3 linked regions of the Nothobranchius furzeri genome follow. The protein of the gene in region 2 purifies or fractionates together with the protein of the main gene of each other region. This does not show direct contact. Links are inferred from orthologs where the notes say so. Each region holds a gene or a part of one and is shown on either strand. Other genes may lie near its edges. The genes, in order: sap18, acin1b and RNA-binding protein with serine-rich domain 1.

Region 1 (4,327 bases), on a different chromosome or scaffold from region 2:
GAAACAAGTGTCTTATTACGTCACAGGATGGATGCTACTCTGAAGGAACGAACTGGTTTAGTAAAGGAAGTGTATGGAGAGGCCAGGAAAAAGGGGACCTTTGCCATTGTCTCTTTTTCAAATACCCACATTTGAGTTTGTTGAAGCATACGTCCATTACTTTAAGCTTGTAGACACCAAAGAGCTTGAAATAACGTTATCCGTGGTCTATCTTTTTCTTTAAAATGACTTAATACCAGCTCAGTGGTCTAGTGGTAGTGTGTCCGCCCTGTCTGGAATTCGGGGTTCAAATCCCAGTCGTGTCACACCAAAGACTTTAAGAATGGGACCCAATGCCTCCTTGCTTGACACTCAACTTTAAAATGGTTGGATTGGGGGTTAAACCACCAACTGGTTCCTGAGCACAGCCATAATTACAGCTCACCCATCCCTATGGCGATGGGTCAAATGTGGAGATGGCACCTTAACTTAAATACATAGTTTATATAACGAAACAGAGAAGTCTCTATACAAATTTGCAAAAAAAAAAAAAAAAAAAACTTTTTAAATTAAGGATTATCATTCAAGTGAGTTTGGTATGTTTGATCAAAACTGGTCTGTTTTTGCAAATTAACTCTTCACAAACACACATTATTGATATTAACTACTCAACAACAGTCTATAGGGAAAAAACAGCTTTATTAAACATGAAGAATTATAAAATGAGGCTAAACTACTCAAGAGAACCCAAAAACAGATGTATCGCTTCATGTGCGTTCAGAAGGGCCTCATGCGTTGGTTGAGGGGCGGGGCTCTGTTGGGCGGTGTGATGGCTATGTCCAAATAGTCTCCAATCTGGAACCGCTGGGACTGCAGCGTCATGGAGTCTTCCAAACCCTTCCTGCCAGACATGGTACTGCCGATCTCTTTTAACCTGAACATTGTAAAAAGAGATGCACAAACTCAGTCCACAGGAATTCATGAACAATAGTATGATTTTACGACCCCGATCTGTGTTGCTCGACACTTACTTGTACATTTTCCCTCTGGGTTCTGGATAGACTATGGCAAAGCTGAAGTGGGTCCCCTTTTTCCTGGCCTCTGGATACACTTCCTTCACTAAACCAGTTAGTTCCTTCAGAGTAGCATCCATCCTGTGATGTAAACAAACACTTGTTTCAGAGGTTCTGTAGCATATACCAGAAACGTAATGGTTTGTAAGTCTTACCAAGTGTAGATTTGCAACTCGCTGGAAGGAACGTTCCCTCTAGAAAATTCCTCTATTCTGTGGTGTCGGCCACTGTTGGTAGTAAATACTCTCAGGAGGAGGGGGCAGGTCTGAAGGAAACAAGAAAACTAAGTTAAACATAAGCAAAAGTACAAATAAATATCACATTCTTTACATGTGATTTAAATATATGAACACATTTAGAATAACTGATGTAAATGTCAGTGTTATTTCAATGATTCAACTGGATTTTTTTTTTACATAAACCTTATTTTGAAAGTTTTCATCAGGGCAAAGTGAGTTCCGAAGTGAGTCTTCGCTGCCCCCTGGTGGCCGTAATAAGTACCTACAGCTGATAGAAAGAAATGGCTTTTTAAGATTGCCATCTGGTTCCTGATTAAGAAATTTAGTGAACTTTTCTGCAACCTTTTAATGCACATGTGGGAAAAATGTTTTTATTAGGCTGAACCCAAAAACAGAAATTACAATTTTTTTACAGAATAAGAAAAGTTATCTTAAACTATATTTGAAATATGATTGCCCTTTTCTATTAAGCATTTCTTATTGTAAAATATTTATTTATATCAATTCTTTATTATTGTAAATTATCCAATAGAAACTTATTTGTTTTCGCAGGTATAAGTCTACAGCAAATAAAATCAATTTATAATTCACAAATATCCGTTATTTTTTCTTATGGTCAACCCTTTTTCTCCTGCTAAACGTAAATAATAGACAATTACATCTACCTTCGTTTATTTATTTAACAGTTTTATTTGTGTTTCTGCTGTTTATTACTCTTGTGCTTGCGCGTTAAAAAGCACAAATAAAAATACTTGCTTTTTTTAAGTTTATTTATCTGCCTTAAGAACAATAAAAATGCAGGCTTAAAAGTATTATTTTCAACTTTCAAATGTAACCATGTTTATCTGTTCAGGGAAAACCGACTCATTTACAATACTGAAAACATTTAGAGGTCTTTTCATGTAAAGCGTTGCTAGCATTAGCTTATTAGCATGCTAGACGGTGCCGTCGAGATAAATCATACACAATTTTAATTTATTTAGTTCAAATAAAACATTTACGACACAGAATTGAGAACGGCTACATTAAATAGCTGTAAATGACCGTTTTAAAACACTTTTTAAGCTTTTACTCCTCCCGACTGCCGTTTTAGTGTTTAAAACCAGCTAACAAGGTTAGCTAGAAGCACACAACACGATGAGCGAGTTACTGAACATTATCCAAACATTAACCTTTTCCCGGTCGATGGGCTTTTCGGGCTCCTTCTTAATTTCCTCCTGAGTGATCCGCGACTCAAGGGCCATTTTTGTTTAACACAGTTAAAATGTTATTAAGCTGTCTGGCTGCAACTTGCGTCTTTCAGCGATGATATTTTTACGGCAACATGAACATAACGTAAAGCGTAGGCTTTTCCGGTCACGTGAAAGTAAGGCAAGTTATTCACGTTACTCCGTTTTTAGGTTATTTTTTAAACACAGCAAAGGTTTTCTTTACCTCCTGGAGAAGCGATCGAAACTGTTAACATGGCAAAAATAAAAAAAATCCTGTGTTTTAAAAATAACTTTAAAAAGCGTTTAGAAGAAAAACACAGCATGAATTTACAGGGATGGCAAGTTATTGTTTTACATAAGCAAACCGCTCTCTCAAGTTTCAGTGACAGACTCATTAGTATTCTCTGTTGGCACTTCTCACCAAAAAGAATATAAACTAGAATACATAAATTTCTGAAACTGAACTCAGCACACTACACTTTAATCTGAATAGTGACTTCAATTCAGAAGATTGTTAGAACATTGAACATTACACACGGCAAGAACAGGGCGAATAAAAACAACTCTTGCTGCCTACACAAGACTAATTCAAATATCAAAATGTACGAATTTAAGGTAAAATTCTTATTAGAAAATAGAAAATGAGAAATGAGATTTATATGCTATATTGGGTTGCCAAAACCATAGCGTGAAGTACCGGTAGTTACATTACCATCTGATGGCCAAAACCCAAATTGTCCTATGAAATGAGCCGAAAAAATGTATTGAGTTTATCCAGGATTCCTGGTTATTTTGCATTCAAACTCCGTTGAAATATAATCATTTACGTCTTTTAATTTCACTTAGCTTGGTTTCTTTCTGCATATTCACTATAGAGTAATGCGATTTGAAGTTCTCTGACTCAGAAAAGCGCTATATACAGTAAGTGTGAGTTATTTATCATTTGTACACTGCACGGCCCAAAACAATAAGTCACCACCAAATTAAAAGTTCCCAGACTCTAATATTTTGTTGGACTGTCTTTAGCTTTGATTACGACATGTATTTACTGTGGCATTGTTTCTGCACAAGAATTATTTCCATCCAGTGTTGAATTGAAGTTTCACAAAGATCTTGCATTGATGATGGTAGAGTCAGACCGCTGCACAAAGCCTTCTCCAACACATCCTAAAGATTCTCAATGGGGTTAAGGTCTGGACTCTGTGGTGACCAATCCATGTGTGAAAATGATGTCTCATGCTCCCTGAACCTCTCTTTCACTATCTGAGCCCGATGAACCCTGGCATTGTCATCTTGGAATATGCCCGTGCCAACAGGGAAGAAGGAATGACCTGGTCATTCAGTATATTCAGGTAGTCAGCTGACCTCATTCTTGGAGCACATCCTGTTGCTGAACCTAGACCCGACCACCTGCAGCAACCACAGATCATAACACTGCCCCCACAGGCTTGTACACTAGGTACTAGGCATGATGGGTGTATCACTTCATCTGCCTCTCTTCTTACCCTGATGCACCATCACTCTGGAACAGGGTCCATCTGGACTCAGACCAGTTTTTAAGAATGCGTTGGACAGTTCTTAACCCAGTTTTAGTTGTTTCTGCAATCTCCTTAGATGCTTTCTCTGCTTAATGCACGCCAATGATCTGACCCTTATAACATCTCTTCCATGACCACCAGATGTGTCGTTCCTCATGGTTGTTTAAGAAATGAGAAGCAACTCAGTGTACCAGTTGGAGTTAAATAACTCGTTGATAATCGCCCATGCAGTAATTATCCAATAAGCTCGTGCCCATTTGCTTAGTTAAACCATGTGAAGACTTTCT
Region 2 (4,789 bases):
AAACCCCGGACAAAAACCTCACGAGTTTGGGAGCACTTCACTCTAGATGCCATGAAAAGACGGGAGACCTGCAAAATATGCTAAAACCATCTAGCATGGCACGGAAGCACGACGTCCCTAAGTGAACATTTGAGACGAAAACATGTGGGGGCTGATGCAGCAACAAAGGAGCCAGCCCGGTAAGAAACAGAAAATAAACAAGCTAAATATAGTGGTCCATCACTACATGCAGATCAAATTTGGGACTTAGTGTTTTAGCTGAGTTCGTTATAGTGGATGTTAAACATGTTTTTTTGCCGCGTCAGTCTACGGTGTTCTACTTCTGATTGACTAGATGAAATCGTGAATCTCCTCCGTGTTGTGTATCATGCGCGTGCCAAATTTAGCACGTCTGTTTATAAGAATGTTCTCGTTAAGAGAAAAACGACACAAACCCATAACTATGTTCTTCATTCAAAAAAGGACAACTCCGTGGAGAAAAATATAGACGAGCTGTGTCCAGGTGAATATAACGCGGCATAGTTGTACGCTTTCAATTTTTAAATAAAGGAGAAATTCAGAAAAAGTCATTTTTTTTACTATTAAAAGGCTGTTTTACTATCTAACGCTGTAAAACGCCTCACAACACATTTTTATCAAAATAAATGATCACTGTATATTGTTAATTAATTCAAATAATATAATATTGATTTAGTGTTGTAGTGTGTGTGCTGCTTTATTTTATATGTGTACTTATTTCAGTGTTTCTTATGCAGAAAAAAACAAGCAACGATGGACAACTACAAGGGGAACAAGACACTCACCCCCCAGCAATGCATACCACTTACAAACTCTATTCTAGATTCTGCATTATTTTTTTATGGAATTTACCTCTTATATTTTGATGCCAAAAAATTATTCTGGACTGATATTTTGCACTGTTTAGCTCATTTTACACCGCTGACTGTGTTCATGTGCAATAAAATAGATTGCAGTCAACTGCACAATTCTCTTATGTTTTTCTTAACTGAAATGTATTCATCACTTGTATAGGTTAAATAGCTAAACAATAACAAACCGATTAATCGAAAAAAAATAATAGACAGATTAATCGATTATGAAAATAATCGTTAGTTGCAGCCCTAATCGAAACGCACACTATGCTTTGCGATCAGGAGATCCTTTGATCTGCTCAAAAGTAACTGATGAGGTGAAAAAGTAAGAATCCAGGCAGCAGTTTTTCTGGAGTTTAGAGGAGATGCAGGAAGATGAGAGACAGACAGGACAGGAAAATAGTTAAATAAAACAAGAAAACAAATCTTGAAAGTCAAATGTCGGTAGAGTTATCTCCACTACACGTTTTTATAATAAGTTACAATAAGTTATAAAACAATAAGTTATCCACATGTCATACTCATACATCTGATACAATTCAGATCACCTTCAAAACTCAGTCACACACCCAGGGCCGTTTCAAAGCATTTTAGGGGCCAAAACAAAACAAAACACCCCCCTAACCCATACATAATAGACATGCCACCATTACATTGTTAGCAGCAGAAATTAAATGTTATTAGCAATTCTAATACAAATGCATGTTAATGAAATGCATTATATTTTCCTGGATTTATTTATGTTATTTTGACTAAGATGAGTGTTATTAATACAAACCTAAAATGTTACTGAAATGTAGGTCAAATATTTAAAAATATTTTTAACCATAAATATCAGATGGGAAAAAGGGAACTAAACACTACTCTAATGCATATTATTGAGCCTTTTATAATATTTAGCCTTTAAAAAAGTGAGGCAGTTGAATGCATAGAGTATGCATGTGCTGACGCATGGTCAGGATGGTACCACCTCTGCCTTAATTTGAGCCAGGAAAAACCCTGTAGATATATAATATGCATATTATATATATATATATATATATATATATATATATATATTATATATACACCTCAGTTGAGTTTTTTTATTGAAATTATTCATAATAAATTAATTAATTCACAATTAAATAAATTCCAGGGCATATTATTTATCAAATAACAAGTGGGTTCAACTGAAACTGAATTGCATGTAATCTAGTTAAATCCAGTTCATTCAATTAATTTCCAAATATCCAATTACACCTGAATTAGGATTCTACTTAAAATCCAGTTACAATTTAATCCGATTCAGTACGTTGTAAAAGGTCCGTTGCTTAAATGATGACAAACATCTTTGACCAACAATAAAACTTTCTAAGAGAAAAGTGCAACGTCTTATAGCAACAGATGGGATGCGAGACTTCTTGAATGCTCCTACAAAATAATCCAAATATATATTCATATAAGGAAATGTAACTTTAATCTTTAAATTTTAATTCGATTGGAGCAAAAAAAACGGTGTTTTCTTACTAAATTAAAAATATTTCGAGACTTCAACTAGCATGTTTGCTAACCTTTTTCTGTAGGACGGGTCAGTGGAAACAATTATATAATCAACATTTAAGGCTTCTTTGTGTTCAGTGTTCTGCGTAAAATCACTTATGTGTATGTTAAATACATATCTGACATCAGTGAAAATAAAAACGCACAAGATAACAAAGCTCGTCAATTTGTGTTTACATAGCTGTGCGCGCTCCCGTGCCTCCAGAACACACTCGGATGGCGTGCCCGCGGGTACTGTCAAGTACTGTACACTGTGTGCGGCTGTTGGCTACTCTCAGCTTAGGCCTCGAGTTGACAGGTGCACAGTTCAACTGTGTGCAACACGGTGTTCGGTGACTAGTTACGACTCAACTCGGGCCTCGTTAGGCAGATAGTCCGGTTGTGTTGTCGGTAACAAAGTGCCGTGTTTACTTCTAACACGGTGAGCATGACAATTTCTGGATTCCCGCTTCAACACACCGTTACGGCCTCTAATGTTACCCCCCCTCCTGCCGTCTCTCGCCTCCTGCTGAAGTTAGCCAGACTCGACAGACTAGCAAAGCAAGCGCACAAACTTACCCCTTTGAGTCGCTTAATCAGCGTGTTTTTCTGTCCGCTTTTCGGGAGGTTTCTTTGCTCCAGGGCAGCTTTCAAATCCGCAACTCGGAGCGACTGTAGAGGTTTTCCATCAAGCGTAATATCTTCGTCCGCCATTTTGCTCCCTCCGCTTGTCTAAACTCCCAACAAACGTCGCTACGGCCGCTCGGCGTCACTGCTCGGTAGTTTCCGGAAACGCTCGTTTTTTCAGCCGAATCACACGAACCGAGCCAGTTTCACCCTTCCCGCCACTTATTCAGCTCAATTCAGAACAGTTTTTTATCCTTTTATTTCTTAAAGGAAAACTAGGCCACCGACATTTTTGGTTTAAGAAATATCCGACAGGATCAATAAATAACACCGTTATTCACAGAACCTGAATGGAAAAAAAAAACACAATATGAAAGTTCACGCAAAGCAAAACGCGTTTGTAGTAAAGAATCTATTTGTGCATAATGAACAGACCCAAAACTGACATCAAAAGTAGTGTTAAAAAAACAAGTCCAAGGGTCTTCTCAATACGTTATCAAATACAAACAAAAGCCCCTATACAAAGTAACGGTTGCCATATTTTTACCTTGTAGTGTAAAATATGTATATAAAAATGCTAACACTCAAAATTAAAATCCCCAGGTGAAATATGTGCATAAAAAGGTAAAGAACTTAAAAGCCATGCAAATGTAAAATTAAAGATATGAATAAAAAATAACAAAAATCTAAAGGTTGTCAGTTATATTCTAGCACACAGTGATGGGGTTTGATCTGCTGAGTACTCCTTAGATAATACTTCAAACGTCCAGAAGGTGGCGCTTCATCAAAGCTTTAGACAGTAAAACAAAAGGCATCATGACATTTGAATCCATAAATCAGATCATGTAATTAAATCTTAAAATGTATATCCCTCTTTGTAAAGAAAACAACAACTTGATTTTGTGTTTAAGCTGTAAAATGCAACACATCACTCATGAAGAATACTAAATGTAAACAAACTTAGGTGGGCCGTGCTTTATATTGTAGTTTTCACTCGAGGCCACGGCAGCATCACCTGGAAGGTCAGATTGTGGTGCATACTTTGTGTATAAACCTCAGCGTTTACTTACACGAACATTGCTAATAATGACTAAAAGTAAAGCAGAAGACACCTAAACAAGACATGTTGGGACAGGAGAACTTGGTCAACAGGATTCTGATGACAGAGTGTGAAAAAAAAAAAAAAAAGCTTAGGTAATTCTTCATTCAGCAATCATTAACCATCTTTTAGTTCCTGGGTTGTTAACTCGACATGCATGGGACTGCATGACAGCGAAATAAAAAATCTGTCCAGTCATGTTTCAACCGTTTCTAGCAGAAGACAGATCAAGCATAAAATGTTCGTTAAACACTACCCTTGAAGTGTCACGTTGCTTATTTAAAAGCACAAAACTTCCAGCATGCAGATCAGATTCATAACAAGAAAAAGGGAAGGCCTATCAGGTATCGAGAAAAGCGGGTCAGAAGCAGGATGCCAGGCCTCCTCTTGCACTATTTTTGGACTTGAGAGGGTTGCTAGATAAATAAAGGAAAGGAAATGACTCATGTGTGGGGACAAGAAATATGGCAAGCACATTAAAGCAAAACTCCCAAAATAGCACGTCCACACCGACACTTGGACCACAGCAAGGTTTGAATAAAATATTCAATAAGTTAACACTTAAAAAAACAGAAGGTGTACCATCAAAGCAAAAACGCCGGCTTATAAACGAGGGCAAAAAAAAAAGAATAAACACACTCACACACACTCTTTAAAGACAGAACTAATA
Region 3 (4,763 bases), on a different chromosome or scaffold from region 2:
CACATACTTAATATTATTATACATGAGTGACAGCAAATGGGCTCAGTACTTACCTTCAGCAACAGAATATACATGCAAATACGATAAAAAAAAAGCCTTTGATGTGAATGCAGCGTAACAAATACATCTATGAGGATTTGATTAATAAATTGTGCACACTTTAGTCCGTTTGTTGAGAACATCTAAATTTTAACGTGTCAGCAAAAAACTGACGTCTTAACTGTGACTGAACAAAAGCCGCCTGCACTTTGCTCACTGCCATTGTGGCTTTCTAGTGTCCGTCTTTCTGAGAACGAACGCATCTCCTCATAGTGAACTGAACATGAAACATTTGTACTCGAGTGACAAAACCTTAGGTAAGATGTACAATTAGTGTCATAAATAAGAGATAGTCTCTCATAGTAATGAGATGCCATTGTAGTTTCTATGCAAGTTCACAAATAGAAAGATCGATGTAAAATATGAACTTTTATTTAACAGTAAGTCACCTTAGAGCTGCTGAGACAAGAAGTTTAACTTGAACATTCAGAAATTCTGTTTCTGCATCTTTATTTTTTAAAAGTTAAAAGGACGTAATACAAGGTAAAAGGAAACAAAATGTTTGTAGATCCCGGTAGAGGCAACATAAAACTAAGCTAACTTTTCTGAATCAACTTAGCACAAAATTTAAGAAAAAATCAAATGGAACAGAAGCACTCTTGCTATGACCACACATACAGCGTAGATGATGGCATTTCTACTGAGTCAAAGGAGTCTGAGAAAACGAGGGTTGTAGCTGATCAGCATCACAGCGTAGAAAACCACATGACATCTGAATGAGTTTATCTGGAGGAGTTGGAGCTGGAGCGAGAGCGATGGCGCCGGCGACCAGGAGACCTGGAGCGGGAACGGCGACGTGCCGGGGATCGTCTCCTTGGAGAACGAGACCTGAAACAACAAAAACGGCATTATTACCTGTACACGTGTGTGTGTTTATGGCTGAAACTGTCTGTAGGCGATACCTCCTCCTCATGCGTGGTGGGCTGCGCCGCCACATAGGAGGTGGTGGGGGCATTCTGCGAGGAGGAGACAGTCTGCGAGGTGGTAGACGGATCCGTTGAGGCAGAACAGCAGCGGCTGTGATTTCCTGTCCGTCAATCTGACCTGTTTTTATAATAGTCATAAAAAATAATCAACACACAGAAAAGACCCCCAGTGTTCCTGAGACCCAGAGGCTGTTAAATTGAACATGCACACCAACCTCCGTCCATGTGTTTAAGGGCCTTCTGTGCCTCCTCAGGGGTCTCAAACTCCACATAAGCATGGCCCTTGCTCAGGTGTGGGTGCATCCTATCCATCTGCATGTCAATCATTTTGATTTTTCCATAAGTGGAAAAGATCTCCTGGATGTGATCCTGGTACAACAGAAATAGAAAGGTCAGATATTCTCTCAACTTTGACACAAAATTATCTTGATGCCAAACAAATAAAACAAACTCTTTATTTTCTCCTTTTTGTTTTGAGCAGAGCATTGCTGATGACTAACACACCCGATGCACACAAGAAAATCTTCTCAGATTTTATCTTTAATTACTACACATTAAGGATGTGCGTGGCTGTTCTTGTGCACTTACATAACCTTGAGATTGCATCATAGTCTCAAATAAAAGCAGACATGATGAGAAAGAGAAAGCAGATGTTCTTCATTTAAGCTAACCTTGGTAACGTTTCTGGTCAGCCTTCCTAAGTGAACCTTAGTGGGTTTGACAATCGGGCTTCGTTTCCTTCGCTCTTTGTCCTCTCCTCTCTTCTGTGTTTTAGACCTGAAAAATCAGAAAGCAGTAAATAAATAACTAGAAACCAAAAGTCATCGTAAACACTGAGACACGAACAAAGACTTACGGTGATCGGGAGCGCCGGCGGTTGTCATGGCGCCTGCGGCTGGGGCTCGGCGAGCCAGAGGAGCTGGAGGAGGATGACGATCGAGAGCTGGACGATCCAGATCGACTGGTGCCAGAAGAGCTGGATCCACTCGAGGAACCTGAGCTAGAACCAGAGCTGCTGCTGGATGATGAGCTAGATCTGGATCCGGTCACAATCAGAACAAATGAAATGGTTTGTTAGGAATTTTTAGCACAGATTTCTCTAGTGATATAACAAATGAGAAGGAACTCAGACCTGCTGCTGCTGCTGCTTCCAGAAGAGGCACTACGACGTTTCCTTACTTTGTCCCGTCCTCTCTCTTTGTCTCCTTCCTTGGTGGCAGTCTTCTCTTTGCCCCTATCTTTAGATTTTTCTTCCTCCTTCCTTTTCGTAGGAGATGGTGCCCTAAAGTGATGTAAACATCTGTTAGTTTAGTTGTTTTACACAAATGGATTTAACAAATCTAAGAGCTACAAATTGTGGGAATGTTCAAATTCATGCAGAATTCAAATCTGGGTCTAATCTGTAATCTCAACAAGCTGAAAATGAAACCCAAAAAGTGTATTTTGTGTTTTCTGTCAGTTAAAATGAAACACAAAGCAACATTTTAACTGTTGTGTTTAATCTTTAATGCTAAGGAATATTTCTTTAGTGTGATGCACTACCATTACTGTGGAATTACCACAGAACGCTAAGTTGTTATTCCAGCTGTTAAAACAACAGACTAGTCAATAAACTTCTGTCTCTTTGTTTAGAATAATTAAACCCCAGTAGGTTTATTTCCTTTTGTGCAACAAAGATTTTTATAATTTTATTTTCTTGAACATTTATCAAAACTACACTGATGTCTCAATTTTAAAATAAATCCCTTAATGTAAAAGCAACTGATAAAAAAAACTAATAACGTTTTTCTCCTAATATTACACAACTTATCTGGCACCAAAAATTCAAGCCGTAAGCTAGCTGAAAGAGACTAAACACGATATACATGATTTATAACTGAAATAAATAAAAACAATCCACATCACACATAGTTTAGGGAGCACCAAATGTCTGCTGGAAATCGTAAACATTTGTTATGTTATTATAGGAAAAAGCAGCACTCAGGCAGAAATCCGCCGCCAACGAGTTTCATTCAGCCCGCTGCCTCTAAACAAGGAGAGCTCCGACCATGCCGTTAACCGATCACTCAGCTCTTCACGCAACAAGCACACGACGGTAAAACACGCCTGGGTTTTCAGAGTTGATTAACTAAGCATCACAACTAAAAACGGACAGTTTTAAGCCAGGAAAGAGCTCAAACCTACATTTTTTATGGACGATGTAGCTCTGCTTCCACCACTTGCGGCCTGTTCGCTTGTCGACGGTTGATGACGCCAGCGGAAGTTGCGTTCCTGCTTGAGCGCCACTTACAACTCATTTGTTTATTTTACGACGTTGACGGTGAAATATCAGCTTGCATTTCCGACATCTCTGTAGAAACACAGACGGACGCGCTTTTGGATATGAAATGAGTTTGTCAAGTTTGAAACGGTGGTGGGGCTTCGCTGTTGTTGACAGAGAGAGAGAGGTACATTAATGACAGATGTTGTTGACAGCTAGCTCAGCTAGCATCTGTTTTCCTGTAGATATGTGTCCAATGTTGACATGTAGATGCGGTTTGAGCTGTTGCGTTGCTGTAGCGCATTACGCGTTAGGACAGTGTTAACAGCTGTCTTTAAGAAGACACAGATCACAGCCATTGACGGACTGCATCAATAAATTCATATTAATCTGTTTTCATTGAGAATGGAAGTTTTGGGGCTTGGTTTGTGTTTTGAAACGTTCACCGTTTGGATTTCTTTTTTAAGGATTCCGGAGTAAAAAGGTGAAATGATCATGCATCATGCCTGTAATTTCACCATGGTTTAACCAGGATTTATTAAGTGAGCTCATATCCACATGCGTGAAACAGCCTCATGCTTGTTTTATAAAAGATTAATTATTTGGTCTCCTGATTACTGGAGTTGATTATTTGTACCTTTCAAATAACCATGTTTAACTGAGGCATTAATGGTCCATCTATTTTCAAGAAACTCCTGAAGACCCTGCTCTTCAGAGAACATCTTCTAAACTAGCACCCTCCCTGCACCCATCCCCTCTCTACTGTCCACTCCTTGTTCTCCATGATTCATCATGCTGCCTCACTGCCACCAACTGACTGGAAATTGTTTGTTGTTGTTACTGTTGTTGTTAGCCTCAAGGGCAACATGCTGATTATCACTTGTAAGTCACTTTGGAATCCAAAGTTTGGACTAAAGCGTCTGCAAAATACATAAACATCTATCTATTTAAATGGATGATTAAAAAATATTTAACCTGAGGTTTTGTTGCAGCCATGTGACTGGATGCTACATACGGTATGTTGATTATACATGTTCATTTCTGAATCAAGTGTGAGCTGAAAGTAGATTTTTATTTGCAGAAACATTATTTCATTTAAAAAAACTTCACTTTTCCTAAAATCTGGTTTCAATACCTGCACAGCCCTAAAACCTACATTTATGTCCCATTCACTTGTGCTTGAGATCATGAAGTAAAACGTGTGTGTAGATATGCTGATGAAGGTTCTCAGTCATCCAGGTCATGGTAACCCAAAGGGTTCAGATGAAGGCAACTGGACTTCTTTAGTTTCTTGAAGACAATTTGCTTCTCATCTGAGGAGCTTTGTCAATTCTAACTGGAATATGGGAGAGTCAAGCTGTCTATTGTTATTTAACGAGCCAAAACTACTCTGGGTACCCGCTTCTCCATCCCCTGATGAGTCGTCAGCCTCTATTGGGAGGGAGTTGTTGTGTTGATTAGATGCAGAAAGGTGTGAC

The links.
Region 1: the proteins of acin1b (region 2) and sap18 fractionate together in Homo sapiens (co-fractionation; 7 studies listed by BioGRID and IntAct, with this or other methods). This does not show direct contact. The link is inferred for Nothobranchius furzeri from reciprocal best matches to the Homo sapiens genes ACIN1 and SAP18.
Region 3: the proteins of acin1b (region 2) and RNA-binding protein with serine-rich domain 1 purify together in Homo sapiens (affinity purification with mass spectrometry; 6 studies listed by BioGRID and IntAct, with this or other methods). This does not show direct contact. The link is inferred for Nothobranchius furzeri from reciprocal best matches to the Homo sapiens genes ACIN1 and RNPS1.

What each region holds. Positions count from the first base shown.
Region 1 is NC_091754.1:55,847,802-55,852,128, reverse strand, and holds sap18 (histone deacetylase complex subunit SAP18), read right to left. Parts: upstream 2,644-4,327; 5' UTR 2,536-2,643; coding exon 2,464-2,535; intron 1,318-2,463; coding exon 1,208-1,317; intron 1,134-1,207; coding exon 1,011-1,133; intron 914-1,010; coding exon 757-913; 3' UTR 660-756; downstream 1-659. UniProt on the Homo sapiens protein: Component of the SIN3-repressing complex. Enhances the ability of SIN3-HDAC1-mediated transcriptional repression. When tethered to the promoter, it can direct the formation of a repressive complex to core histone proteins.
Region 2 is NC_091742.1:59,513,930-59,518,718, forward strand, and holds the start of acin1b (apoptotic chromatin condensation inducer 1b), read right to left. Parts: upstream 3,252-4,789; 5' UTR 3,108-3,251; coding exon 2,973-3,107; intron 1-2,972.
Region 3 is NC_091752.1:58,150,412-58,155,174, reverse strand, and holds RNA-binding protein with serine-rich domain 1, read right to left. Parts: upstream 3,334-4,763; 5' UTR 3,212-3,333; coding exon 3,210-3,211; intron 2,308-3,209; coding exon 2,158-2,307; intron 2,062-2,157; coding exon 1,882-2,061; intron 1,803-1,881; coding exon 1,697-1,802; intron 1,395-1,696; coding exon 1,241-1,394; intron 1,144-1,240; coding exon 1,002-1,143; intron 928-1,001; coding exon 822-927; 3' UTR 533-821; downstream 1-532. UniProt on the Homo sapiens protein: Part of pre- and post-splicing multiprotein mRNP complexes. Auxiliary component of the splicing-dependent multiprotein exon junction complex (EJC) deposited at splice junction on mRNAs.